Oryctolagus cuniculus: one gene and its partners. Each later gene encodes a partner of the first gene's protein in a complex. Links are inferred from orthologs where the notes say so. Each region holds a gene or a part of one and is shown in the gene's direction. Other genes may lie near its edges.

Region 1 (2,858 bases):
AAGGAAACCCTGACCCCACCAGGCAGGCCCTGCTGCTTGTCCCCTCCCCGGAGCCCCTGGCTGGTGGGTTCTGGTCCTTGCACGTCAGTGGGACCCCAGCGGGGGGCCTTCGGCGTCTCCTTTCGCTCTGTGTGGCGTTTTGGAGGTTCTTCTGTGTGTGTCAGAGCCACTGATAGAATGCGGCTGACCCCCCTCCCCTGACGCCCCTCTTGTTTTTCTGTTTTCTGCTTGTTGTTAGTGCAAATAGATTGAAAAATGGCCTTCTAAATTAGTTCCATCTCTTGGCAACTAAGTTTTGAATTTTAAACATGTGGTAAAATATTTAAATTGGGGGCAAGCTCTTCCCAAGGTACTTATTTAAGTTATATGCTTTGCCACACAGGAAATCCCTGGCTGTGTCCCCCCGGCAGGCCCGGTCAGGATCCGCTACTGGGGATGTAACTGAGAAACGTGAACTGTGCTTGTCTCGCAGGGTGGGGCCTGGAAGTTGTGTCTCCTTGTTTCTGCTTAGCTGGGTTTTCCCAATTTTTTAACATGGGTATAAAAGAGGAACGTTGGAGTGTGACCCTGCTGGCCAGTTTGTGGGACCTTTCAGATTTAATTATTTGAAAGGTAGTGTTAGGGAAAGAGAATCTTTAATCTGCTGGTTCACTCTCCAGATGGCTGCAATGGTTGGGGCTTGGTCAGGCTGAAGCCAGGAGCCAAGAGCTTCATCCAGGTCGCCCACATGAGTACAGGGACCATCTTCCACTGCTTTCCCAGGCCATCAGTGGGGAGCTGGATCAGAAGTGGAGCAGCTGGGACTCAAACCTGTACCAATAAGGGATGCCAGTGTCACAGGCGGAGGCTTAACCCACTATGCCACAGTGCTGGCCCCTCTCTTAACAGGCTCTTTGAGGTGTGAGTGTGAACAGCTCTGTGACGGACAGGTAGAACTCTGCACAGGCTGAGAGTGTGCACCGTGGCCGGCGCTGGCCTGTGCTGTGGCGGGGAACAGACCCCTCACCCCCAGGAACTCCCCGTGTCGCCTGTTCTGAGCTGTGTCAGCAGAGGCCGGCACAGGGCTGCAGGCTCATCGGGGAGCCTTGGGCAGCACCGGGCCCTCTCTGAGCCCCTTCCTGGCTCATCTCCCCTCACAGGGCTCCAAGGTGGGCAAGCTGACCCTCAAGACCACAGAGATGGAGACCATCTACGACCTGGGCACCAAGATGATCGAGTCCTTGACCAAGGACAAGGTCCAGGCCGGGTGAGCAGGCAGGCTGTGCAGGTGGCCTGGGTGGCCCGGGTGGCCTGGGCGGCAGGGACTCAGACCCCCCTCCATTCTTCCTCCGCCCTCCCTCCCCACCCACAGGGACGTGATCACCATCGACAAGGCCACGGGCAAGATCTCCAAGCTGGGCCGCTCCTTCACACGCGCTCGGGACTACGACGCCATGGGCTCCCAGGTGCGCCAGGACGCTGGGGACACCCTCGACCCCGGCCGTTGGATGTTCTGTCGCCTCTGTGACCACAGGGCCTGGGTCCTCCTGTCCCTGTGCTCCTGGGTCTTGTAACCCGGGACGCTGCCCCTCACTCTGAGTGCCCTTGCGTGCCCCTTGGCTTGACCTCCCCTCCTGGGCCTGGGGTTTCTGAACGACCACTCTCTGACCCCCCAGACCAAGTTCGTGCAGTGCCCAGATGGGGAGCTCCAGAAACGCAAGGAGGTCGTGCACACCGTGTCCCTGCACGAGATCGACGTCATCAACTCCCGCACCCAGGGCTTCCTGGCTCTCTTCTCAGGTGAGGGTCCAGGCCGGGCAGCCCCCGACTCCCCCCGGCCTGGGGACATGGCGGAGACCCAGCTCGCCGCCGCTGGGATCTGCTTCCTCTGTGCCCACCCTGCGGTCTCGGCCTCGTCGCCTCCCTGACTCCCCGACGCCGCCCTGGCTCCTGCAGGTGACACCGGGGAGATCAAGTCAGAAGTCCGCGAGCAGATCAACGCCAAGGTGGCCGAGTGGCGGGAGGAGGGCAAGGCGGAGATCATCCCTGGGGTGAGCACCGGGGCGGGAGGGGCGGGGGGCCTGGCCGGGAGGGCGTGCCCTTGAACTCGAGCCCCCGCGCCCCAGGTGCTGTTCATCGATGAGGTCCACATGCTGGACATCGAGAGCTTCTCCTTCCTCAACCGCGCCCTGGAGAGCGACATGGCGCCTGTGCTCATCATGGCCACCAACCGTGGGATCACCCGGTGAGCTGGCACGGGGTCACGTGGGGCCCCGTGGGCTGCGGGCTCCCAGCACTGCTGGCTCCGACAGGAAGCCGTGCCTTTCCCTGGAGCAAGGCAGGTGGGTGACTGGGTGTAGGCAGCTCGCCCCGGCCCCAGGAAGCTCTCGGGGGTGCTGTGGACGTCTTAATCCTGAGGGAAGCACAGTGACCTCTGTCCGACCCCGCACAAACCACTGAGCCCCGGCTGCCTGGGCAGCGCGTCCTCTGTGTGATCGTGGCCTCAAGCTGCCCTGGCAAAATCCCTGGCATCTGACCGGCACCGTGCCCTGATGAGTCCCGGGAACCTGTGCCCTGGGTGTGGCCTCCGTGCCCCACCCCTGCACACGCGTCAGCCATCAGCCTGTGAGGAGGGGGAGGGCCAGGAGCCCGCATTGCCTGGGATGTGGAGCCTGCACCAGCGCTCCCACCGGGCCCCGCCCTGCTGGGACGCTGAGCCGTCACTGTGCAGCAGGGGGCCATCAGTGAGCCGGGAACTGGGCCCGGCCAGGCGGGGCGCTGGGCAGTTTTGCCTGGCTTTTGTCTGACACTGTTCCTGGAAGACCTTCCTGGACCCTCAAAAGAAGCCCCGCAGGGCGCGGTCGTCTCCGCCAGCTTCA
Region 2 (3,960 bases), on another chromosome or scaffold:
GGAAAGGAGGAAGAGTGAAGGTGCTAGATTTTAGCTTCAAGTGTGTAAAATTAACTACGTTAATTCTTAATAGGACCAGGTAAGTTTCCATTGAGACGTATCAACAGGACAGTCAAGCATCCTGCTTAAGACCAGTGGAAAAGCCCTGAGCAGAGGAGCGGCTACGGAGAACACTCACACTGACGACACTGTTCCCTGAAAAACGGAGAGAGTTAAGAAAGATGGGAAACACCACCACCTAACACTTAGAGTAAGAGTCTCCTGAGGAAAAACATTTTAAAATAAATTCAGCAATGCACACTTAACATATATCACCGGTCAATATTGGCAGGGAGAAATCCAAAAGTAGGGGAAGACAACGCCCAGGACTTCTAACACATGCTACTTACTCAACATAATCTAAATTGCTGGTTCAGCTCATTAGACATCAAGGCTCCACCCGCTACTTATGACTGCTCAGGGTTTTTTTTTTTTTTTTTTTTTTTTTTTTGGTTGTTGCTGCAGGTATAGGTTGTATGTACAGATTACATGAGGATGACAATGACGATGAGCTGGACCGAAAAAACAAAAAAAAACAACAACAAAAAAAAAAAAACAAGAAACAAACCACTCTCGTCTAAACTGGCGCTGATGACTATTCCAGCACCTTTCATCCGGGGAGTGCACATACACGCCACAGTTTGATAAACTATTTGAAGGCTACATGGAGTCAAGCAGACGTCCCTCCCTCCCCCCTTATATTTTCGGCGGTCAACACTGAAGCACCGAATTCTGTCTGCAACAATGGGAATCGCCCGAACTTCGCTGATCACGCTAGCGTTTAGAACCTCTGCTTGTGTGCCCAGCACCAGGCGAAACCCATGACTCACAAACGCCGGGCATGGAACCGCAGCAAAGAACAGGTGAAAAGTTGTTCCTAGTTGTCTGATGCCGGCGCATACAAGTCCCGTCATCCCCTGTGCCAAAATCAACAAATAAACAGAGGCACCGCATTTCGGAGCCCTCCGCGCACCGCTCGCAATGGCGCCTGGTGTCCGTAGTTTTCCCTCACAGAACGGGCGGCACGGCCGCCCTGCCTCAGAAGGAACAGAAACTACACTTCCCACAAAGGCGCTCGGGCAGGCCCTGGCCGGCCTACGTCACTGCGGCAGCCAGCCAATGACAGCGCCGGGCGGCAATGAGGCAAGCGCCGTCAGGCGCCCAAAGTGGTTTTTTTTTTTTTGTTTTTTTTTTTTTTCGCCGGAGTCGAGCGGGTGCTGCTAGCGGAGGCGCCATATTGGAAGGGACAAAACTCCGGCGACAGCGAGTGACACAAATAAACCCCTGGACCCCTTCGCTCCCCCAGCTCTAAGGGCCGCGATGTTGTACCTAGAGGACTATCTGGAAAGTGAGTGCGCGGCGCCGGCGGGGGCCGCCCGTGGGACCTGCGGTCGGGCGAGAGCGCGAGTGGACGGGCAGGCGGGATGGCGGGAGGGAGGGGGAGGCGGGGGATGTTTCTCTCTCACGGTAACTGGCAGCCTCGTTGTGGGCTGCCCGCTCCCTCGACCCCCCCCGACGCACGCACGCACGCACGCAGTGACGCAGGCGCGTACGCTCGCTGTGGGCCCCGCCCTTCTGACGGACTCTTGTTTGACAGTGATTGAGCAGCTTCCAATGGACCTGCGGGACCGCTTCACGGAGATGCGCGAGATGGATCTGCAGGTGCAGAGTAAGTCGGCACGTTTGCCCGCGTCCGCCGCGCGCGTTCCGAGCCGGGCTTGCTTGCCGCCGCTCCTGCGCGGCGCTCCGCGGGCACCTAAGTTGTGGAGAAGAGCTGGCAGGGCCAAATCGCGCCTGGTTTTTTTTTTTTTCTTCCCACGCTCCATTTATTATTATTTTTTTTCCTGTGACGAAATAAGAAGGCATTAGAGTATATGTATTGCTTCCTCGAAATGGGACTGTGCAAAAAAAAAAAAATGTTTTATATCCTCATGAGGGTAATACCGGGTGTGGGTTAGCGATGATCCCGTAAATGCTGAGATTTTGACCAGCGCCTTTATGGATCGAACTTGGATTTCAGCATCTGTTTGTACTTCTGTTCGAGTTCATTCCGAAACGTCCAAGAGCCCGGCTTAGGAGTAGATCCTCAGAGATCCCGGCAAACCTGGAGTGTCATCACACGTTATAGGATAAGCTTGGAGTTGTGGGCTCGATCCTCTTTTCCAGGCAGAATGAGCGGGAGATAAGATGTTGCTGCCAGGCTGGTCAGTGGTAATAATTGGCAGCGGGCTTCCCTGTCCTCCAGTGACGGCTTGCGAGTCTGGTGACTTTTTCTCAGACAAGGACTCTTAAGTAGGTGGCCCAGAGACTACCCGAGGTGGCTGAAGAACCTTTCTTTCGCAATCCACTCCGTGTGTCTACTTGGTGACCACCTAGGATTCTCTACCCAAAGGTTCATGATTCTGCTTTTCTCAGCTTCTGCACAGTTTTATGTAGCACGTAACAAGTGGGAATGTGGCACAAAAGCCACCTTTTTTTCTGTTGGTTAGATTGTAGCGTGGCAGGAAGTGAGAAGCACGATTCTGCAGCTGGCTGACAACATGCGTTTGAACTGCAGTGTAGTGAAAGGCCAGTGACACGCTGAGTAGAGTTCTGTGTAGGACGGAGTGTGGACTTCGATGTCGGGCAGATCTGCGTTTATTTTATAGCTTTATCAGTAGACTCATTGACCTCGATCGACTGCATTACCACTTTTGAGAAGTTTCCATTGACTGTAATAAGAGAATCCAATGAGAATTAAAAATAATACAGATAAGTTAGAATGTATGATATCTGATACAAAGTAGGTGTTAAAGAAAGGGTGGCTCTGTTATAAACATTTTCATTGCAGTTACACATTTTAAATTCTCTTAATTTGAACTTAGCTTGTACAAACTACAAGTTTTTTTAAACTAGCATTTTTTTAACAATAAGTAGAATTCTTTAAAGTTAATAGGTATTATGAATTAACAAAAATGACCATATGTCACGTAAGTTAGGGAATGCTTAAAGGAAAATACTTTTTTAAAAATTTTATTTATTTATTTATTTAAAAGAGTTACAGACAGAGAGGGAGAAACACAAAGAAGTCTTCCGTCCATTTGTTCACTCGCCAAATGGCCTCAACGGCCGGAGCTGAGCAGATCTGAAGCCAGGAGCTGGGAACTTCTTCCAGGTCTCCCACGCAGATCATTAGCAGGGAACTGGACCAGAAGAGGAGCAGCCAGAACAGGAACCGGTGCCCATATGGGATGCCAGTGCTGCAGGGAGAGGCTTACTCTACTATGTCACAGCACCCCAAAGGAAAATACTTTTTTATAAATTAACCATGGGACTTCTCAATCTTTAAAAAGCTGATTATGCACTGGCAATCTCCAAAAGATGAGTATAGTACAGAGATTTTCCTCAACCTAATTAGCAATGGAAATCTTTTTATTTTTCCTCTTTTTGGGAAAAACTATTCATTATTCTAGGCATATACTTCAGGAAAAACTTACTTAGAATAAATAATATCGTGTATGAAGTGCTAAATGGTTGTACTTACTGCTTTCAGCTTTGATATGAAATGATGGAATGCTTAGTGCCATTGAGCCAGTTGTTAAAAACTTTTTACTGATTTTCTTATGAAAAGCCATGTGAGGATATTTTAGTGGTGGTCTCTGTGAGTAACTGTGGTTGGGCACATTCAGTTGATTAAATACCGCTAGCCATTGACTGTGTCCCAACCCCCTGAGGCTGTACTCTTCAAAAACTGTGGTTTAGCTCTGATCCACTTTGTTAATCCTAGTTTAATTATTGGAAAAAATTAAAAAACAACATAAATAAGTAGTAGGGAAATGTGTAACTTTTAAAGATTAAGTTAAGTGAGCATTATGTATTTATGTAACTGAAGCATAACATACTCAAGTTATTGGTCAAGTGGAACAGTGTTTATTGTCAGAT
Region 3 (3,109 bases), on another chromosome or scaffold:
GCCTCACCTTGGCTGCACTTGCGATGTCCACGGCCTCCACAATGTCAGCCTGGCGGATCTTTGCTGTGTCTTCCCCATCCTCCCCTTCCAGGAACCTGGAAGAGCGTCCATACTGCAGTAAAGCTCCCTCTATGAAGTGGGCACACCAACATAAAACGAGGCAGGGAAATCCCGCGAGACGAGGGCCGGCAGGGCCAGGTCGGGGTCCACTCACCCAGGCTCCTCAGCAAGCAGCAACTCTGAGCGGGCAGCTTGGACGCTGGTTTCCTCTTCCTCAGCTTCAGCTGCCTCAAGTCTGCTGCGCGTCTTGGACTTGGAAGGCGGCAGCTACAACAGCGTTGGGAGTGGAGGAGGAGGAGGAGGAGGAGCGGAGGGAGAACACGGAGAATCACAGCAGAGCCACCGGGCCCCACCTCCATCCTTCTCACCCAGGCGCTCCCAGCCTCCAGTCCTTCCCCACCGTCCAGCGATTCTCACCTTTTTAGATTTGTCAATGCGACGGAACTTCCGGGCTGCCTCCACCGGGACGGGGGCGGGGCCCGGGAAGGGGTCCTGGGCCTGGGGCAGAGAGGAGGCAGTCAGCTCACAGCTTCGGGCTGACCCCCCAACCCTTTCACTCGCAAAGCACAGAGAAACCTGCCCCCGCCACCCTGCCGCGGTGCAGGCTCACCCCAGACAAGCTCCGCTGGGGCTCCGGCTTCTTCGGCCCTCGAGACTTCCTCGCGACCAGGGTCTTCTTGGAGATGCGCGACTTCTTTGTGACCTGAGTGTTCTTTGGTCTCTGGGGCCGGAGCTCCCGGTTCCGCTTCTTCTTAGGAGGCGGGCCTGGAGAGGCGCCGGTGGCGCTCGGAGTGGTGTCCACTTCCCAGTATCGCCGCGGTTTCTACGGGCAGATCAGGAGCCCTGGAACTCCGCGGCCCACGTCCCGCCCCCGAACCCCACAGCTAAAACCTCCCTGCCCGTCCAGAGAAGCCTGTACCTTCCTCTTGGCCTGAGGTTTGTCCTTCTTGGGTGGGGCATCCTGACTGGCCTTTGGGACTGTCTCCATCTCGCCCACTGGAACAACGATCCACGTGCAAATCTCTCAGCTGTCCCACAGTCGGCTTAGACTCTCCCGGAAGTCCTCTGTTCCGCCTCAGCCAATCAGCATCGTTCCAGGGCTGAAGTCTTGAGCACGCCATCTTGAGTGAGGGCACACTCTCCTTTAAGGGGCGGGGCGTGCTGTGGCATCTCCCTCGGGCGCCGCAGCTTATACCCGAGGAATGGGGAAAAAAAGTCAAGTCCGGGCCAGAAACCAGTAACAGAATAGTCTTTTTCCGGATTAACTTCTCTGTCTTGCCTAAAACCTTCTGAGTCCAGTCATTTCAGCCGAATGCCGCTTATTAAAAATGTTAGAACTACATTTCCCGACATGCAACCTGGAGGCAACTTCCGGATTGATTTTCCCAGCATTCCATGTTTACTTCCGGGTTGATTAATACAGAAGGGAGAACGTGAGTAGGTTAGGGTACCGTTTCAGGGGTTTTGCGTTTCTTTTCGTCCTGCACCCACTGGGGTCGGGTCGATTCGACTTCCCGGACAGGGAGAGGCCGCGGTGCCCCGAAGGACTGCCTCTCAAGAGGACTGTCATTTCCGTCGGCCCGACCAGAAAGGGGAGCTCGACCCCAGCGCCCCTCTCCCGTTCCCGCAGGCTTTCATCCCCGCCATGGCCGAGCTGATCCAGAAGAAGCTGCAGGGAGAAGTGGAGAAGTATCAACAGCTACAGAAGGGTAAGGGACCGGGTGGGCGTAGTCTCGCCGCAGCCCGCAGACTAGCCGAAACGAGCTCTCCGCCCCAGCCGGCCCGCTCCTTCCCCGCCTGTATACTCGCCCCTTCTTCCCGGTCTGCTTCCTCACATCCGCCTTCTGGGCCAGGACTGTGGGAGCCCGTGGCACTCTTGGTGTCCCACTCACGTCTCCCTTCCTCCCTAGACTTGAGTAAATCCATGTCAGGGAGGCAGAAGCTTGAAGCCCAACTAACGGAAAACAACATCGTGAAGGAGGTGAGGGGCCGGGAGTTGTGGGGGCGGAGCAGCCTGGACCGGCTGCGGTTCTGATCAGACCCGTCCCGCTCGCCCACCAGGAACTGGCTCTGCTGGACGGGTCCAACGTGGTCTTTAAACTGCTGGGGCCGGTGCTGGTTAAGCAGGAGCTGGGGGAGGCGCGGGCCACGGTGGGGAAGAGGCTGGACTACATCACAGCTGAAATGTGAGTTTTTGTCCCACTGCCCTGGCTGTCGGCCGGCGGGTGCTGGGGACCTGAGTGGATTGCCCTTCGGAGCAGCCCACGGAAGCCTCCCCTTTTAACGCGGCCTGCCCCTCCCCCTAGCAAGTCCCTCTAACTTCTCCCTGTCTTCTCTGGCCCCTGGCCTCTCCTCAGTAAGCGATACGAATCCCAGCTCCGGGACCTGGAACGGCAGTCAGAGCAGCAGAGGGAGACCCTGGCCCAGCTGCAGCAGGAGTTCCAGCGGGCCCAGGCGGCCAAGGCAGGGGCTCCCGGGAAGGCCTGACCTCGGGGCGGGGCGGGGTGGGATGGGCCACTCTAAGTACCTAATAAAATGTAAACACCTGGCTCTGTTGTCCTGCTTGTCTGTTCCCCCGGCCTCCATCACCTGACCCACACACCACACACCACTGTTACTCCCTCAAGCCCACATTCCAGCACCTGCAGTCTCTGGAACTAAACTCTAAAATGTCTCAAAGCTGCTCCTCACCTGTACTCGTATGTACAGCCCTTAATTCTCCGTTATTTTCCTAAGACACGGCCTTTTAGGAAACACAAGGACATTTACAACCTAAGCATATTGTTGGGAGTGTCGTTTAAATTGAAGAACTCAGAATTCTCTGAGAACCCAGGATGAAATGTGACTCCTCCCCTTGCTGTGAATACAAGTGCTCCGTAGGGCTCATGGGAAAATGGAAATAAAAGGTTGGGTTACAGCAGGTGGGGGCTTTTGACTCTGCTTCTCAATAAAAATATTTCCATGCAAGACATTTTGAATCATGCATTTTCCATGTACTCTTTGAAGACCCATCACATGCATGACTCCAAAGCTTCTGTACCAAAATAAC
Region 4 (2,782 bases), on another chromosome or scaffold:
CTGGAGGGGAAGATCAAGAGCTCAATCTGAGGCCTGTTAAGTATGAAGTGCTTAGTGAACACTGAAGTCGATTTTTGAAAAGGTTTTATTTGAGAGGTAGAGTTACAGAGAGGGAGAGACAGAGAGAGAGGCCTTCCATCCGTTGGTTCACTCCCCAGATGGACGTAACGTCTGGAGCTGCACCTTTCTGAAGCCAGGAGCCAGGAGTTTCCTCTAGATCTCTCTCATGGGTGCAGCAGCCCAAGCACTTGGGCCATCTTCCACTGCTTTCCCAGGCCATAGCAGAGAGCTGGATCAGAAGAGGAGCAGCCGGCACATGAACTGGCGCCCATATGGGATGCTGGTGCCACATGCAGAGGCTTAGCCTACTACACCACAGGGTGGGCCCCAGAAGTCGATTTTTTGAAGATAGAGTTAAAACTCCCAAGTCCGGTTCAGGAAAGGTCTGGGCTGGAAATACAAAGTGTGCGAAGTATTGGCATATAGATGAGTTCATCCTATTTTTTCCAGTGTAACAGCCTATCTTGTTACTATGTACTTTAATTCAGTACTTAGATTCATTTTCCCCTCAAACTGACTGCACCATTGACAGCATAATAAAATCCACATTTCTCATAATAAGAAGACCCTGCATGATCTAGCCCTTCCTACCTTTTTGGACTTTATCTTATACCACTTTCTTTCACTGTTCACTTAATTTCTAAGTTTCTGATCTCCTGGCTGTTCCTTAAAAAACTCTTTCCTGCCTCTGGGCCCTTTTGCTGCTTAACTCTTTCTCAGTCAGTTCCTTCTCATTCTTTGTATCAGTGAGGATTATTTCAGGAGGGACTTGATCCAAATTGGCTCACACAAAAGGAATTTACTATTTTATGTATCCCAGCAGTCCGGAGCCAGGGTGGTTTAGGCACTTCTAGATTCAGGGTGCCTAGGCCTTAGCATCTTCCTAGCGTCCTATCTCACACCCAACAGCTGACCCTTTGGTAAATCCTGTAGGCTCTACTTCCAAAATGCACCCTAAATCCAGTCATTTCTCAGCCACTGTGGTCTGATCCTCCATGGCTCACCTGGACTATTGCCATAGCCACCTCACTGGACTTCCAGCTTCCACACTACTCTCCTTATCCCTAGTCACTCTACACAGCATCCAAATGGATCCTCTGTGACCCAACTCAGTTCACCTCCCTCCTCTGCTCACAGCCCTCCCCTGGCATCCAGCTCACTTAGCAGAAAAGCCAGGCTCTTTAACATGGCCTTGTAGGTTTACACAGCCTGCCTCCCACTCCCTGCACCCACCCCCTTACCTCCCTGACCTCAGCTCTTCTAGTACCTCTCACTTACTCTTCTCCAGCCACAATGCCCTATTAGCTGTGACTCAAACATGCCAGGCACACTCCCACCTCAACACCTTTGTATTTGCTGCTACTTGTGTGTGGAACACCGTGCAGCCTTCATATAGCACTATTTGCTTCTTTACAGCTTCACTCAAATGCTTCTCAATGGAGCTGTCCCTAGGCACTGTATTAAAAATGGCAGCTCCCACTCCCATACTACTTTCCCTCCATCACTGCTTCCTTTTTTCATTATACTTAGAACCATCTGACATACCATATATTTTAGTCCATCATTTATTTGTCTCTAAGAATTTGAGCCCCGTGTAGGCAGGATTTTTGTATGTTGTGTTTGCTGCTATCTCCCCAGTGCCTAAAACTGGCATACATTAGACATTTGGTAATCCTTGGATCAGGTCCAGACTGTGGTCAGGCATCTCTGCACAGCAGATGGGTGGAAGTCATCCCAGATGTAGGTAGTTCTTGAAGTGATGAGGAAGGGTCATCTTCATAAGTGGGGCCCACTTTGCACATTCTCGTTTCTTTTCTCCAGGCTCAGCAACAGCCTCACCAAGGACTCCATGACTATCAAGGCCCATATCCACATGTTGCTAGAGGTGAGAGCAGCTCACTCCACTCCCAGCCTCTATGTCCAGATGTGGTTAGGGTGATGACCTAAAGAAGGGAGAGAGCCGACGAAGGAAAGGACCATCTTTCCTTCTAAACTGGATCCAAGGGCGGGGAGGTCAGAGCAAGCCTGAGGTGGGGCCTGGACCCGTCCCTTGTTAAATCCTTTCTGTCCTTTTTTTCAGGGGCTTAGAGAACTACAAGGCCTGCAGAATTTCCCAGAGAAGCCTCACCATTGACTACTTACCGCATCCTCCGACATTAAAGATCCTGAATGCCTTTGAGTCACATGGCCCTTCTTTTTCCCCCTAACTCCTGCGGGTTGCCAAGGCACCCTGTTTCCAGAGTCCAGCATTAATTGGAAGATCTAGTTTCTCTATGGATCCTTTAAAGCACCCTGGAAGTCCTGCCTCCGGCCTATTGCCTGGCAGCATTTGCTACTTGACTTTAGGCTCTGCCCTCTGTCACCATGGCAACCTCACACACACACACCCTTCCTTGCATTCCTTTTACTGGCTATCGCCCTTTGAATTGCCATGGAGAATGGACAGGTTCAGGGTGGAGGTTTGTTCCCATGGCAATCAGCCTTTCACTCCTAGCCCTAAGGTTTAACCCTTCTCCCAAATCCCAATCGTTCCTCAGGTACCATCAATTACACCCACGCCAGGCTCAGCCCAACCTTGGCCTCTGCTTCCAGTTTCCACCAATAGGCGCAGAGCCAAATTCTGCCCTCCCTGGTCCAGCCCCCCAGTCAGCACAGAGCCAGGTTCCGCCCCCTTAATAACTCTAGCCACAGCTTGACCCTGTCTTTTCTGTGAGCACTTAGT
Region 5 (3,500 bases), on another chromosome or scaffold:
ACTCTGTGACTAACTTGAAATCATTTGCTTTGGCTTCTAAGGGATTGTGGGTTGTGGGCAAGTACAGGAAGTAGAATAGGTCAGCATGGAAAGGAGAGCTGCAGGGGATTACGGTCCATAGTAGGGGAAGGCTAAGGTGGAAAAATCTTCAGGTAGTCTTTCTCTCCTCTGCAGACTCATTGAAAGAAGAATCAGGGGCTATTTTTGGAAGCCAGATAAAGGTATTTCAGATTTTTCTTTATTCCTCTTGCCATGTGATAGATTTCCCTATAGCACTCCCTTTTTTAATGAATTTCAGTAAACTCACAGCTTTATTCTCTGAGATGAGACTGGTAAGGAGTTGCATGGGGAAAAGCTGTAGTGGACAGTCAGGCATATGGGAGTACATATAATTACTGCACGTGCTACCCATCTGAACATTACATGGTTATTTTCTTGGCATGAAGTATACAAAGAAGCTCTGATGCACCCCAAGTGATTTGGAGTCAATAGGAATACTAGAGCCAGGAAGAAACTATAGAAAATCAGATTTTTTTAGACTATTCAAAGAGAATCATCTGAAGTTTTTATTTTAGAGTTACTAGAGCAGTAATAAAAAAGATTTGAAGTAATGCGATGTGAGCTTGCTCCATCAAATGAGACACGAAGTAAAAACTATTTTTGATAACTTTGTACCCAGGGTCAGAGTTCCTCTCAAGAGCAAGGGGAAAGAAGGAACGCCTCTTAGCTTAGTCTTAAGTAAGTAGCTTTTTTTTTTTCTTCCTTTTAAAAAGATCCTGGATTTTATTCTTTGTCCAGGTTCTAGATTACTTTATTTAGTCAGTGTCTGCTAAGTAGATGGTAGTATGAGTGATAGAGGGCTCAAAGTGTGAGGCCATTTCTAGAGTTGATCTAACCCAAAAGACAGACCATGTTTAATGATGCTTTGCTGGATAGCTTTACGTGCATTTGTTGACCGGAGCACACTGTGTCTAAGGATGCCCCAGGTGAGGATGAGGAAGAAGATGGGGTCAGTGAAGCAGCCAGCCTAGAGGAGCCTAAGGAAGAAGATCAAGGAGAAGGCTATTTGTCAGAAATGGATAATGAACCCCCTGTGAGCGAGAGTGATGATGGCTTTAGCATACACAATGCTACACTGCAGTCACATACACTGGCCGACTCCATCCCCAGCAGCCCTGCTTCTTCACAGTTGTGAGTATTAGAGATTTCTTTGTTTGAGTCCAAGGCAGTCAAGGTGAGAAGTAGGAGAAAATCTTTCCTTTATTTCTTTTTTAATTTTTATTTTTTAATTTTTTTTTTGACAGGCAGAGTGGACAGTGGGAGAGAGAGACAGAGAGAAAGGTCTTCTTTTTGCCATTGGTTCACCCTCCAATGGCCGCCGCGGCCGGCGTGCTGTGGCCGGCGCACTGCACTGATCCGATGGCAGGAGCCAGGTACCTATCCTGGTCTCCCATGGGGTGCAGGGCCCAAGCACTTGGGCCATCCTCCACTGCACTCCCTGGCCACAGCAGAGAGCTGGCCTGGAAGAGGGGCAACCGGGACAGAATCCGGCGCCTCGACTGGGACTAGAACCTGGTGTGCCGGCGCCGCAAGGCGGAGGATTAGCCTAGTGAGCCGCAGCGCCGGCCACTCCGCCTTTCAAATCAATAAAATAAAATAAAATAAAAAAACAGTAAGACTAAAGAAAAGATTTTTGGCCAGCGCCGCAGCTCACTAGGCTAATCCTCCGCCTTGCGGCGCCAGCACACCAGGTTCTAGTCCCGGTCGGGGTGCTGGATTCTGTCCCGGTTGCCCCTCTTCCAGGCCAGCTCTCTGCTGTGGCCCGGGAGTGCAGTGGAGGATGGCCCAAGTGCTTGGGCCCTGCACCCCATGGGAGACCAGGAGAAGCACGTGGCTCCTGGCTTTGGATCAGTGCGGTGCGCCGGCTGCGGCGGCCATTGGAGGGTGAACCAACGGCAAAGGAAGACCTTTTTCTCCGTCTCTCTCTCTCTCTCACTGTCGAATCTGCCTGTCAAAAAAAAAAAAGAAAAGAAAAGAAAAGAAAAGAAAGGCGGAGTGATAGAGGGAGAGAGATATCTTTGATCCTCTGGTTAACTTCCCAAATGTGGCAACAGGTGGGGCTGAGCCAGGCTGAATCCAGGTGCCAGTAACTTCATCCCAGTCTCCCACATGGGTGCAGGGGCCCAAGTACTTGGGCCATTTGCTGCTTTCCCTCCCTGGAGCATTACCAGGCTCAGCAGTGGAGTAGCCAAGACTCGAACTGGCACCCATATGGTTGCCAGTGTTGCAGGTGGTAGCTTAACCTGCTATGCCACATGCCAGCCCCCTTTTCTTTAATCTTATTTTCTCATCTTCCTATTCTTGGCCTGGAAGAAATAACTGACATGAAATAATTAGGGCTTTTTTTTCTTTCACCTTGCCTACTGATCTGTGTGTCTATTTCAGTTCTGTCTGTAGTGAGGATCAAGAAGCTATTCAGGCACAGAAAATATGGAAGAAAGCCATCATGCTTGTGTGGAGAGCGGCAGCTAATCATAGGTGAGTGGCTTTACCCATCAGTAGGTTCATTCCCTCCTGGTCCTCCTCTTTGTAGATGAAAAGAAAGCAGTCTAAGTAGGCTTCTGTGGGACTGTTGGTGGTGTCTCTACCTACCTTTAGCTACTTGATCTAAGTTCCTTCCCATGTGCATCTGTTTAGTAATTGCATGTTAATTATTTTCGGACAGATATGCGAATGTCTTCTTACAGCCTGTTACAGATGACATAGCACCTGGTTATCACAGCATTGTACAGAGGTAAGCCATGCTCTGCTGACTTGCCTGAATTATAAATTGTCCAGTCTTAGTGAATTTTTACTTTAGATCTAAGTACAAAGGTAGATGTTGTGGCATAGTCTGTTAAACTGCTGCTTGAGACACCCGTATCGCGCATATTGCAGTGCTGGTTTGAGTCCCATTCTTCCGCTTCCAATCCAGCTTACTGCTGATGCACCTGGGAGGCAGTGGATGATGGCCCACGTACTTGGACTCTTGCCATCCATGTGGGAGACCTGGGTGGAGTTCCTGGCTCCTGGCATTGGCCTGGGCTGTCCCCAGCTGTTGTGGGCAATTGTGGAGTGAACCAGTGGATGCAAGATTTCTCTCTCTGTCTTAAGTGCATGTTTTGGAGTGGGGGCTTGGCATTTGTGTCCTAGCAGCTAATAATGAAGGAATAAGGTATATGTAAGAAAGTTTATCATGTATTATCATGTTTATCATTTATTCAGAGATCAGGTGAGTCCTTTTCCCACTTCTGCTGCTCTTTACTCCTCTTCATTTTTTTAGGCCTATGGATTTATCAACTATTAAGAAAAACATTGAAAATGGACTGATTCGCAGCACAGCTGAATTTCAGCGTGACATTATGCTGATGTTTCAGAATGCTGTGATGTACAATAGCTCAGACCACGATGTCTATCACATGGCAGTGGAGATGCAGCGAGATGTATTGGAACAGATCCAG
Region 6 (4,200 bases), on another chromosome or scaffold:
CCTGCCTCTCTGTAATTCTGCCTTTCAAATAAATAAATAAATCTTTATAAAAAATACCCATTCTATGGCAAATAAAAACAGGGGCCTGCGCCGTGGCTCACTTGGTTAATCCTCTGCCTCGCAGCGCCGGCATCCCATATGGACACCAGATTCTGTCCCAGTTGCTCCTCTTCCAGTCCAGCTCTCTGCTGTGGCCTGGGAGGGCAGTGGAGGATGGCCCAAGTGCTTGGGCTCCTGCACCCTCATGGGAGACCAGGAAGAAGGCTCCTGGCTTCGGATTGGCACACCACCGGCCATGGTGGCCATTTGGGGAGTTAACCAACAGAAGAAGGACCTTTTCTCTGTCTCTCTCACTGTCTATAATTCTACCTGTCAAAGAAATTAAAAAAAAATAAAGAAGCCTGTTCTAAATTTCAGATAGACAGATACATGGAGAAACATAAAAATTTACCAGTCCAGACCTCATATAACTTTTCTTACTAGAAGACCCGATGAAAGATATGCTAGGGCTTAAAAAAAGCCACCAAGTACATCTATTAAGTCACACAATTTGTCTACATCTCATAAGTGCACTTAAGCATCTCCATAGAACATCGTGATTCCCAACACTGGAATATAATTTTCAAATATGTGGTCTCATATGCAAATATAAAATAAACACATATCATGGTTTTATTTAACTCATTAGTAAATGAGGAAACCAGTCAGATATGAAAATCAATTCAAAGAGCATTTGAAAAGCAAGGAATTTATCAGTCAAGAAATGTCAGACAGGACCTCAGTGTTACATACATAACTGATTAATGTCTTCCAGATAATAAATCATAACCTTGGAAGTATCTTATTGACCTAGTAGAAATTATTAGCATTTTTACCAGTCAAAAATCCACACGTTTGCCTCTGCTTTTGTCCCCTGCCTGCACCAGGTTGTAAAACAGTTCAGTTCATTGAAAGTCAATCCTAGAACAGCACTGAAAGAACATCAGGTAATCTCTTGCCTATTTCCAACTTTTGGTCATTTTTTTTTTTGCAAGAATGAGACATTACAAATATTGCATAGGATGTACACTAATAAAAGTATTCATTCACCTGAAATTCGTATAAAATTGTATTTAGCTGAAAACCCTAGTTACAAATTAACAAAAACTTTTCCAATTCTGTAGGGTTCGGTTGCCAACATTGTGTCTATGAAATCTGTGCTTTAGTTCAGGATCTGACTGGTTAATAACTAATTGGTGTTTCTACTGCGCGTCTGTTCTTTATTTGCACCAATAGGGGGCGCGTGTAACTTGTAGTCCAAGAGCCCACAAAAGTGTTTCTACCTCCGATCCGCTGGGGGTCGGCGTATGAATTGCTTAGATTTCGCAACCGGGCTCGAAACACTGGCGCTCTAGGCATTTGTGCGCATGCGTAGAACCGCTCTTGGCGAGGGGGCGGGGGCGTCAGGCCCGGACTGCGCAGGCGTTGGAGTGAGCGCGCGGAGGAGGTTGGTGAGACCTCTGCAAGGCAGGTGACGCTGCCGGCGCTGTGGCTGGGGCGGTCGGTGGTGGGACTCTCGGGAGCTCTGGTGAATCCTGCGTGTCTGCGGCTGGTTGGAGATGCCCGGCCGGGGCGTGCACCCGGAGGACAGCGCTGTGCCGGTCCCCGCCGGCGGCCGGACCTTACACAAGGAGGATCTTTGCAACAAGGTGGGCGTGGGACGCAGCGAGCAGGCCTCCCGGGCTTAGGACCCGGCGCCTGGGGCAACCCAGAGAGGGCCGGCCGCGAGCAGCGCGGGGCTTCGCTGGAGACGGCCTCGGCTTGCGCTGCTCTGCTGTTGGTAGCAGTCGGCACTTCCCCTTCCCTGGAAGTAGTCGCGCTAAGCGTCTTGTGGGCTGAGTTTCCGCGGCCCTTCCAGATCTGTAGCTCACCCCTTCCGTTACCCCTGCCAGCGGCATGGGCTCATCCTTGACGTCGGTCTACACCTGAAACCCACTTCCGGTACGAGTGTGACTTTAGTCCCGAGGACGCACGCTCCTGCGTCCCTGAACGAGCCGCCCTCATCGGCTGCCCCGGACCCCCGCAAAGGGCTCCCTAGCCCACCTGCTGCCTTCTCTGTTCCCCGCTGTAGCCGCAGTGGCCGCCCTAAACCTCGCACATCTGATTGTCACTCATCTGCGGAGAAAGAGGGGGAGGGGAGCCACTCTGATACTGACCTGAACTGCCGGAAACAGGTGCAACCTTTAAACGTGTGGAGGAGGGAGTTCAATGTCCTGCATTCTTCACTGGTTCTGCTCCAAGCTAGTAGTGGTGTCTTGGACAGACCTCTCTGTTCTCTCTGCATCACAGCTTCCTTCTTTGGTGGGAAGTGAAATACAGACCTGACATCCCTAAACTGCACAAGAAAGCACTGTGGTACAAGCGTTAAGTCTCAAAGAGGGGGAGGGTATAGTTTCAACCTTGGAAGTCAGCCTTATCCTGTCCCTTCTGCAGCTGTGTCAGCTCTGGAGACAACAAGGGGGAGACTCATGGGGCAGGGAGTGAATTTGCAAAATACAGCCCACTCTGCTGCCGACCTATGGCAGATCCCTCAAGTGTGTGGTGCAGTGTAAAAATCTTACATCTGGTTTTAGAGGCGCTGGTGATGTTAGGTAATAGATCGTGTTCATAAAATAGCCAGTTACTAGAAAGTATCAGAAAGTTTGCACTTACTTGAGTTCTCTCCTGAAATTGAAAAGTGAAGCCAGCACTGTGCAAAGAAGATTGATGCCAAGACAGGGGGATTTAGAACTACTTGGTTAAAAGGACTGTCTAGCCGCACCATTTAGTACACAAATCGTCAGAGACTGGTATTACTTCTGGTGCATATCGTCTGTTTGTATAGGCCTTGTTCAGTAACTGTGGCCACAGGCATGAAGGCCGGTTGCCAACATCAAACCCACTGGCTGGGCTCCGTGGGTTGTGTGACATTTAGATGTCTAATGCCCATTTCCCCCTCCACCTGTGCACACATAGACTGGAAAGAATCTTCTCAGACTGCCCATTTGGACAATCAGCGCATGATACCTTCTTACGCCATCTGCCTAATTTTAAAGCCGTCATCTAATTGAACATGTTTTTAAGAGTTAAAATTCTGTTTTAAGCGTTTCTCTTTATTTCAGTAGATTAAAGAACAAAAAGTCGTTGTGGATGAACTTTCTAACCTGAAGAAGAACAGGGTGAGTTATAGAAATTCTGAATAGTATGTGGGAAGCTTGGTTATATTTATATTATATAAAATCATAAAAGTTGTATGGAAGGTTTATATAAAGGTTGACAAGTTTTCGGCATCTCTTTAAATTGCAAAAGCCCAGTGCCTACGTTTATTTTAAACTGTACGTACATAGATCTCATAAAGCTGAAGATGTCTCTTCCTTTTCATATGCCATTTACACGACCTTTAAAGCTAATGACGCAGATTGGATTTTGGTATCTTCAAGCTGTACCACTAATGTAACTATTTTATGCTTGAATTTGGTGTGTATTTTTGAAATAAATGAACTTAAAGTTTATTGAGAAGAAACTATCCCTTAAAGTAAATGTTGAACAAAAAATTACTTCTCTCACCGCCCCCCCAAAATCTTCTCAGTGCTTAGCATTATTTTTAAATGCAATTTCTGTGTATATATTCATAAGCAAGCCATCTTTGTTGCTTCATGTGTAGTTATACATTAAACTACATTAAAATTACATTTTAATGTTCAGGAGTAAATGACTTTGAGCTCTTTCAAGCGCCTAAAGATTATAACTGACAGATTAGACATTTCTGATATTGTTGCCAGCTACAAAGATGTCCATCACAACACTGATCTATAATACTTGAGGGACAGTAATACCTTAAATGTCTAACATTTGAGGATTGAGCAAATAAATGTAGTATGTCATACGATGATATTATAAAGGAATACATATTGATAAGAAAAAGTGTTCTTGATATAGTCATTGTAAAACTATAGATGATAGTAGAAGCCTTTTTTATTAAAATAACAGTGGTATTATGGTTTACAAGGGAAAAAAACAAGTTTCACCTCACTGGTAATGATAATAGTGTCTGGGTGGCAGGATGGTTGGTAACTTTTATTTGTCTCTTTGTTATCTGTATTTACTAAAGTAAATTCCCAAAGTTTACAAGTATGTAGTAGTAGGATTCAAAGATTTGACATCTTTTTAGATCATATCTTG
Region 7 (3,500 bases), on another chromosome or scaffold:
GAAGTGCCAGGGCCCTAAGCCAAAGCCTGGAACTGGGACCTCGACCCAGGTCTCACATGGGTAGGAGAAACCCAATTATTTGAGCCATTGCCACTTTCTCCCAGGGTCTACTTTGGTGAGAACTGGAGTCAGGAGCTGAAATTGAATTCTGGCACCCACAACCCAGTACTAGACTTAAAGAGAAGGAAAAGAACCCATAAATGTTATTCAAATAACCATGCTGCACGATAGATGGTGGAAACGTCAAGCCTCACTGCTTTATTTTCAGTGCCTCTCTTCAAAGAAAGTAACTTTTTGTGCTTCCTTTCTGAAAAATGAGTTTCATTGTAGAGGCAATTCTAATAAGCAGAAAGTTCCTCAGCACCATTAGGCAATAATTTCAGCTTTTCCACCAAATCTGTCACCAGAATTGCTGTTAACATTCCAACCTTTGTTTTTTTCCCATAGTCATCTATTACTTGCAGAGGTCAAGCTAGCAAGCCAAAAATATAGAAAGAAGAAACAAAAGGAATTAGCAATCTTTCATTTTAAGAGATATCCAGCAAATAGTTTAACTATAATGCTACTTTAAGTCTAATTGATGTTTATAAGTATATCCCAGTCAGGTATGGGATAAGAACTTACAGAAGTCAGTTTTTAGCCTTTTCCCTAACTTTATTTAGGTATAATTGACAACAGTTATGCATCGTTCATTAATTGGAGTATACAGATTTGAAGTTATAAACTGAACAAGGTCTGGAGACCAGATGTGCAGTATGGTTAATTATAATATCCTACATACTTGAAATTTGCTAAGAGTAGATTTTATGTAATACCCCCTCAAGTAACTGAGGTGATGAATATGTTAATTAGCTTGATTGCAGTAATCATTTTATAATCCATGTTTTATCAAACCATCACTTTGTGCCCCTTGAATGTATTATACAGTTTTGAGTTTTCTTTTTTATAATTTCAGGTATAATTTGGGTGACTACAACGGTGAGATCATGTCTGAGGTTATGGCACAGAGACAGCCACTGAAACCCACTTATGCCATCCCTATCATCCCTATTACCAACAGCAGTCAGTTTAAACACCAGGAAGTAATGGATGTGAAAGAGTTTAAAGTTAATAAGGTGAATAATGTTTTTGTGATGATAGTATCTGACAGTGGGATGGGATTTTATTAGTAGTAGGAAAATAAAGGAGAAAAATACATAAGCCATACCATGAAGTAGAACCTTAATGATTATGGCATATTATGAAAAGAAACTGAAAGTTTAAAATAAATTTTTGTTTTTGTTATTTCCTTATCTTATATAAAAGGATGACTTTGTTACTATAGTTGATAAGAGAAGTATTTTACTAACTATAGGATTATGAAATATTAAAATAATTCAAACAAAATATAGAAGTTTAGAGAGAAGGACAGGAAATCCTTGCTGATAGGATGAGTTTGTGATGTTCTTTTGTGTGTGAGATACATCAGTGTGTAAGTGGAAGGCAAGATAGAAGAAGGAATTCAGGTATCTCTTTAAATGTGTAACAGAGATAATGGATTAGAAATGGAAATATGTGACACATTAATACTTAACCAAATACTTGGCAGTATGTAAAGAATAAAATTGATGAGGAGAAATAAAATTAGTGGAGGGAAATTAAGAAAGGCAATTAAGTGGTACCTTCTTGGGAAAATGTGGGTCTGAGGGAGAAAAATCTGTTTTTTCATGCGCATTTAAATTTATCCCCCATGGACACACTGAAATGCTGTATTGATCAGATTTTTTTCTGCCTGCCTTTTCAATTTACTACTCCTAAATACACTTTTTAAACACTAGTGTAGTATTTTAAGTCTGGTCCCCCAGTCTGAATCTTGTGTAACTTTGCACGCTATTTCTGTGTTGTCCTTCAGGGTTTAGATTTCATGACTGCACTCCTAACTATGCGATTCTATCCTTTCTGAATATGTGAGAAAGCTGGGCCCGAGCCCTTGAACATGTATTAGTTTAAATTCTTCCAGATTAAGATAGAATCATTAATTGAAGCTGTTTTGGTTTTCTTGGTAGTTTTTATAGTAGTTTAAGTAATTGCATCCCAGATTAAGTAAGATCAAACTTTTAAATTCCATAAAACTTAACACAAATATTTTGCACAGTTTCTTACCTGTGCTATTTGCCATTATCTTTTTCTCCCCAGTAAATACCATTTTGCATCTACACTCACTACCTGTTGTCCACACATGAGATCCATACTTCTAACTTAGCATTGTCTGCCACATGCATTTCTCCTGTGAGCTGACTTCATAACTCACCTATTCTTTGTCCTGCTTTTCTCCCAGTATAATAATTTTATATCTTTATCCTCAAAAATTGCTCAAAATTCACCACTCCACAAAGCCTTCTTTGTTCGGTTAGCAAATCCTTCCTTTTTGTTTTTATGGCCCCTCGGTGTTCAACGGCTTTACTCTGCACACCGTATTAACAGTCATGTACAGTTCACCACTTTGTGTGTCACATTGTTTTCATTATGATTTTCCCTGCACTAATTTGTTGTTTCTTGAGATTAAGTGTTGAGAAGTAAGGACTAGATGTTTTATTACTATTTTCTCCTATAATTTTCACAGTATAAATGTTATAAATGTTAATTGTAGGAGCTGGAGAACTTCTGTTCTCATCTTACTTTAATGGAATCAAAATAATTTATAGGACTATGTTTAGATGGCCAGAAGTAAAAGTCTGTGTCTCCTTTGAATAGAACTGTCTTCATTATACAAATAAGCTGCTTTTTAAAATTTCCCAAAGAGCAGCAGGTTTGTTGAACATGGTTTCTAGTGTCTTTAATCACTTTCGTGTCCTTGTTGTAGCAAGATAAAGCCGATCTTATCCGACCGAAACGGAAATACGAAAAGAAGCCCAAAGTCTTACCGTCGTCTGCTGCTGCTACTCCTCAACAGACGAGTCCTGCTGCACTGCCAGTCTTTAATGCTAAAGATTTAAATCAGTATGACTTTCCCAGCTCAGATGAAGAACCTCTCTCCCAGGTAAATACAAGACCTTCTCAGGGTGGGCATTGTGTAGTGGGTTAGGGGGTGCCCACATCCCCCATCCATGTACCTGCTCTGCTGTGATCCAGTTTCCCGCTAATGCGGACCTTAAGAGGCAGCAGGTAATAGCTCAAGTAGTTGTGTCCCTGCAATCCACATGGAAGACCTAGGTTAAGATCCAGGCTCCTGGCTGCAGCCTGGTCCAGCACTGCTGTTGCTGGCATTTGGACAGTAACTGGGGTGGAAGATACTCTGTGTGTGTGCCTTTCAAATCAACAAATAAGTAAAAATTTTTGAGAAAAGAGTGTCTCTCTATAAAAATAGAGGAAGAATGTAGGAAGTCACACGTTTGACCTACTTCTTTTGTTGTACTCAAAGGTTTTGTCCGGCTCTTCGGAAGCTGAGGAAGAGAATGATCCCGATGGTCCCTTTGCTTTCCGTAGGAAAGCAGGCTGTCAGTACTATGCTGTAAGTGTTG

Evidence for each region.
Region 2: RUVBL2 (region 1) and ING3 share a complex: the UniProt entries of both Homo sapiens proteins name them as parts of the SWR1-like complex. The link is inferred for Oryctolagus cuniculus from reciprocal best matches to the Homo sapiens genes RUVBL2 and ING3.
Region 3: RUVBL2 (region 1) and PFDN6 share a complex: the UniProt entries of both Homo sapiens proteins name them as parts of the PAQosome complex. The link is inferred for Oryctolagus cuniculus from reciprocal best matches to the Homo sapiens genes RUVBL2 and PFDN6.
Region 4: RUVBL2 (region 1) and UXT share a complex: the UniProt entries of both Homo sapiens proteins name them as parts of the PAQosome complex. The link is inferred for Oryctolagus cuniculus from reciprocal best matches to the Homo sapiens genes RUVBL2 and UXT.
Region 5: RUVBL2 (region 1) and BRD8 share a complex: the UniProt entries of both Homo sapiens proteins name them as parts of the nuA4-related complex. The link is inferred for Oryctolagus cuniculus from reciprocal best matches to the Homo sapiens genes RUVBL2 and BRD8.
Region 6: RUVBL2 (region 1) and ASDURF share a complex: the UniProt entries of both Homo sapiens proteins name them as parts of the PAQosome complex. The link is inferred for Oryctolagus cuniculus from reciprocal best matches to the Homo sapiens genes RUVBL2 and ASDURF.
Region 7: RUVBL2 (region 1) and EPC1 share a complex: the UniProt entries of both Homo sapiens proteins name them as parts of the nuA4-related complex. The link is inferred for Oryctolagus cuniculus from reciprocal best matches to the Homo sapiens genes RUVBL2 and EPC1.

The regions. Positions count from the first base shown.
Region 1 is NC_091449.1:8,259,068-8,261,925, reverse strand, and holds part of RUVBL2 (ruvB-like 2), read left to right. Parts: intron 1-1,139; coding exon 1,140-1,246; intron 1,247-1,351; coding exon 1,352-1,445; intron 1,446-1,655; coding exon 1,656-1,779; intron 1,780-1,935; coding exon 1,936-2,030; intron 2,031-2,105; coding exon 2,106-2,224; intron 2,225-2,858. UniProt on the Homo sapiens protein: Possesses single-stranded DNA-stimulated ATPase and ATP-dependent DNA helicase (5' to 3') activity; hexamerization is thought to be critical for ATP hydrolysis and adjacent subunits in the ring-like structure contribute to the ATPase activity.
Region 2 is NC_091434.1:156,936,687-156,940,646, forward strand, and holds the start of ING3 (inhibitor of growth protein 3), read left to right. Parts: upstream 1-1,160; 5' UTR 1,161-1,359; coding exon 1,360-1,387; intron 1,388-1,636; coding exon 1,637-1,708; exon of another isoform or gene 1,709-2,431; intron 2,432-3,960. UniProt on the Homo sapiens protein: Component of the NuA4 histone acetyltransferase (HAT) complex which is involved in transcriptional activation of select genes principally by acetylation of nucleosomal histones H4 and H2A.
Region 3 is NC_091436.1:135,834,645-135,837,753, reverse strand, and holds PFDN6 (prefoldin subunit 6), read left to right. Parts: upstream 1-1,447; 5' UTR 1,448-1,705; coding exon 1,706-1,769; intron 1,770-1,970; coding exon 1,971-2,041; intron 2,042-2,121; coding exon 2,122-2,246; intron 2,247-2,417; coding exon 2,418-2,547; 3' UTR 2,548-2,609; downstream 2,610-3,109. Other genes in the region: WDR46 (WD repeat-containing protein 46), read right to left, coding at 8-95, 215-327, 478-558, 671-883, 980-1,048. UniProt on the Homo sapiens protein: Binds specifically to cytosolic chaperonin (c-CPN) and transfers target proteins to it. Binds to nascent polypeptide chain and promotes folding in an environment in which there are many competing pathways for nonnative proteins.
Region 4 is NC_091453.1:33,158,954-33,161,735, reverse strand, and holds the end of UXT (protein UXT), read left to right. Parts: intron 1-1,881; coding exon of another isoform or gene 1,882-1,945; intron 1,946-2,140; coding exon 2,141-2,267; 3' UTR 2,268-2,282; downstream 2,283-2,782. UniProt on the Homo sapiens protein: Involved in gene transcription regulation. Acts in concert with the corepressor URI1 to regulate androgen receptor AR-mediated transcription. Together with URI1, associates with chromatin to the NKX3-1 promoter region.
Region 5 is NC_091437.1:25,976,058-25,979,557, reverse strand, and holds part of BRD8 (bromodomain-containing protein 8), read left to right. Parts: intron 1-174; coding exon 175-221; intron 222-976; coding exon 977-1,191; intron 1,192-2,445; coding exon 2,446-2,538; intron 2,539-2,725; coding exon 2,726-2,794; intron 2,795-3,322; coding exon 3,323-3,500. UniProt on the Homo sapiens protein: May act as a coactivator during transcriptional activation by hormone-activated nuclear receptors (NR). Isoform 2 stimulates transcriptional activation by AR/DHTR, ESR1/NR3A1, RXRA/NR2B1 and THRB/ERBA2.
Region 6 is NC_091434.1:50,691,753-50,695,952, reverse strand, and holds the start of ASDURF (ASNSD1 upstream open reading frame protein), read left to right. Parts: upstream 1-1,400; 5' UTR 1,401-1,598; coding exon 1,599-1,688; intron 1,689-3,143; coding exon 3,144-3,197; intron 3,198-4,200.
Region 7 is NC_091444.1:102,680,675-102,684,174, reverse strand, and holds part of EPC1 (enhancer of polycomb homolog 1), read left to right. Parts: intron 1-955; coding exon 956-1,115; intron 1,116-2,842; coding exon 2,843-3,019; intron 3,020-3,400; coding exon 3,401-3,490; intron 3,491-3,500. UniProt on the Homo sapiens protein: Component of the NuA4 histone acetyltransferase (HAT) complex, a multiprotein complex involved in transcriptional activation of select genes principally by acetylation of nucleosomal histones H4 and H2A.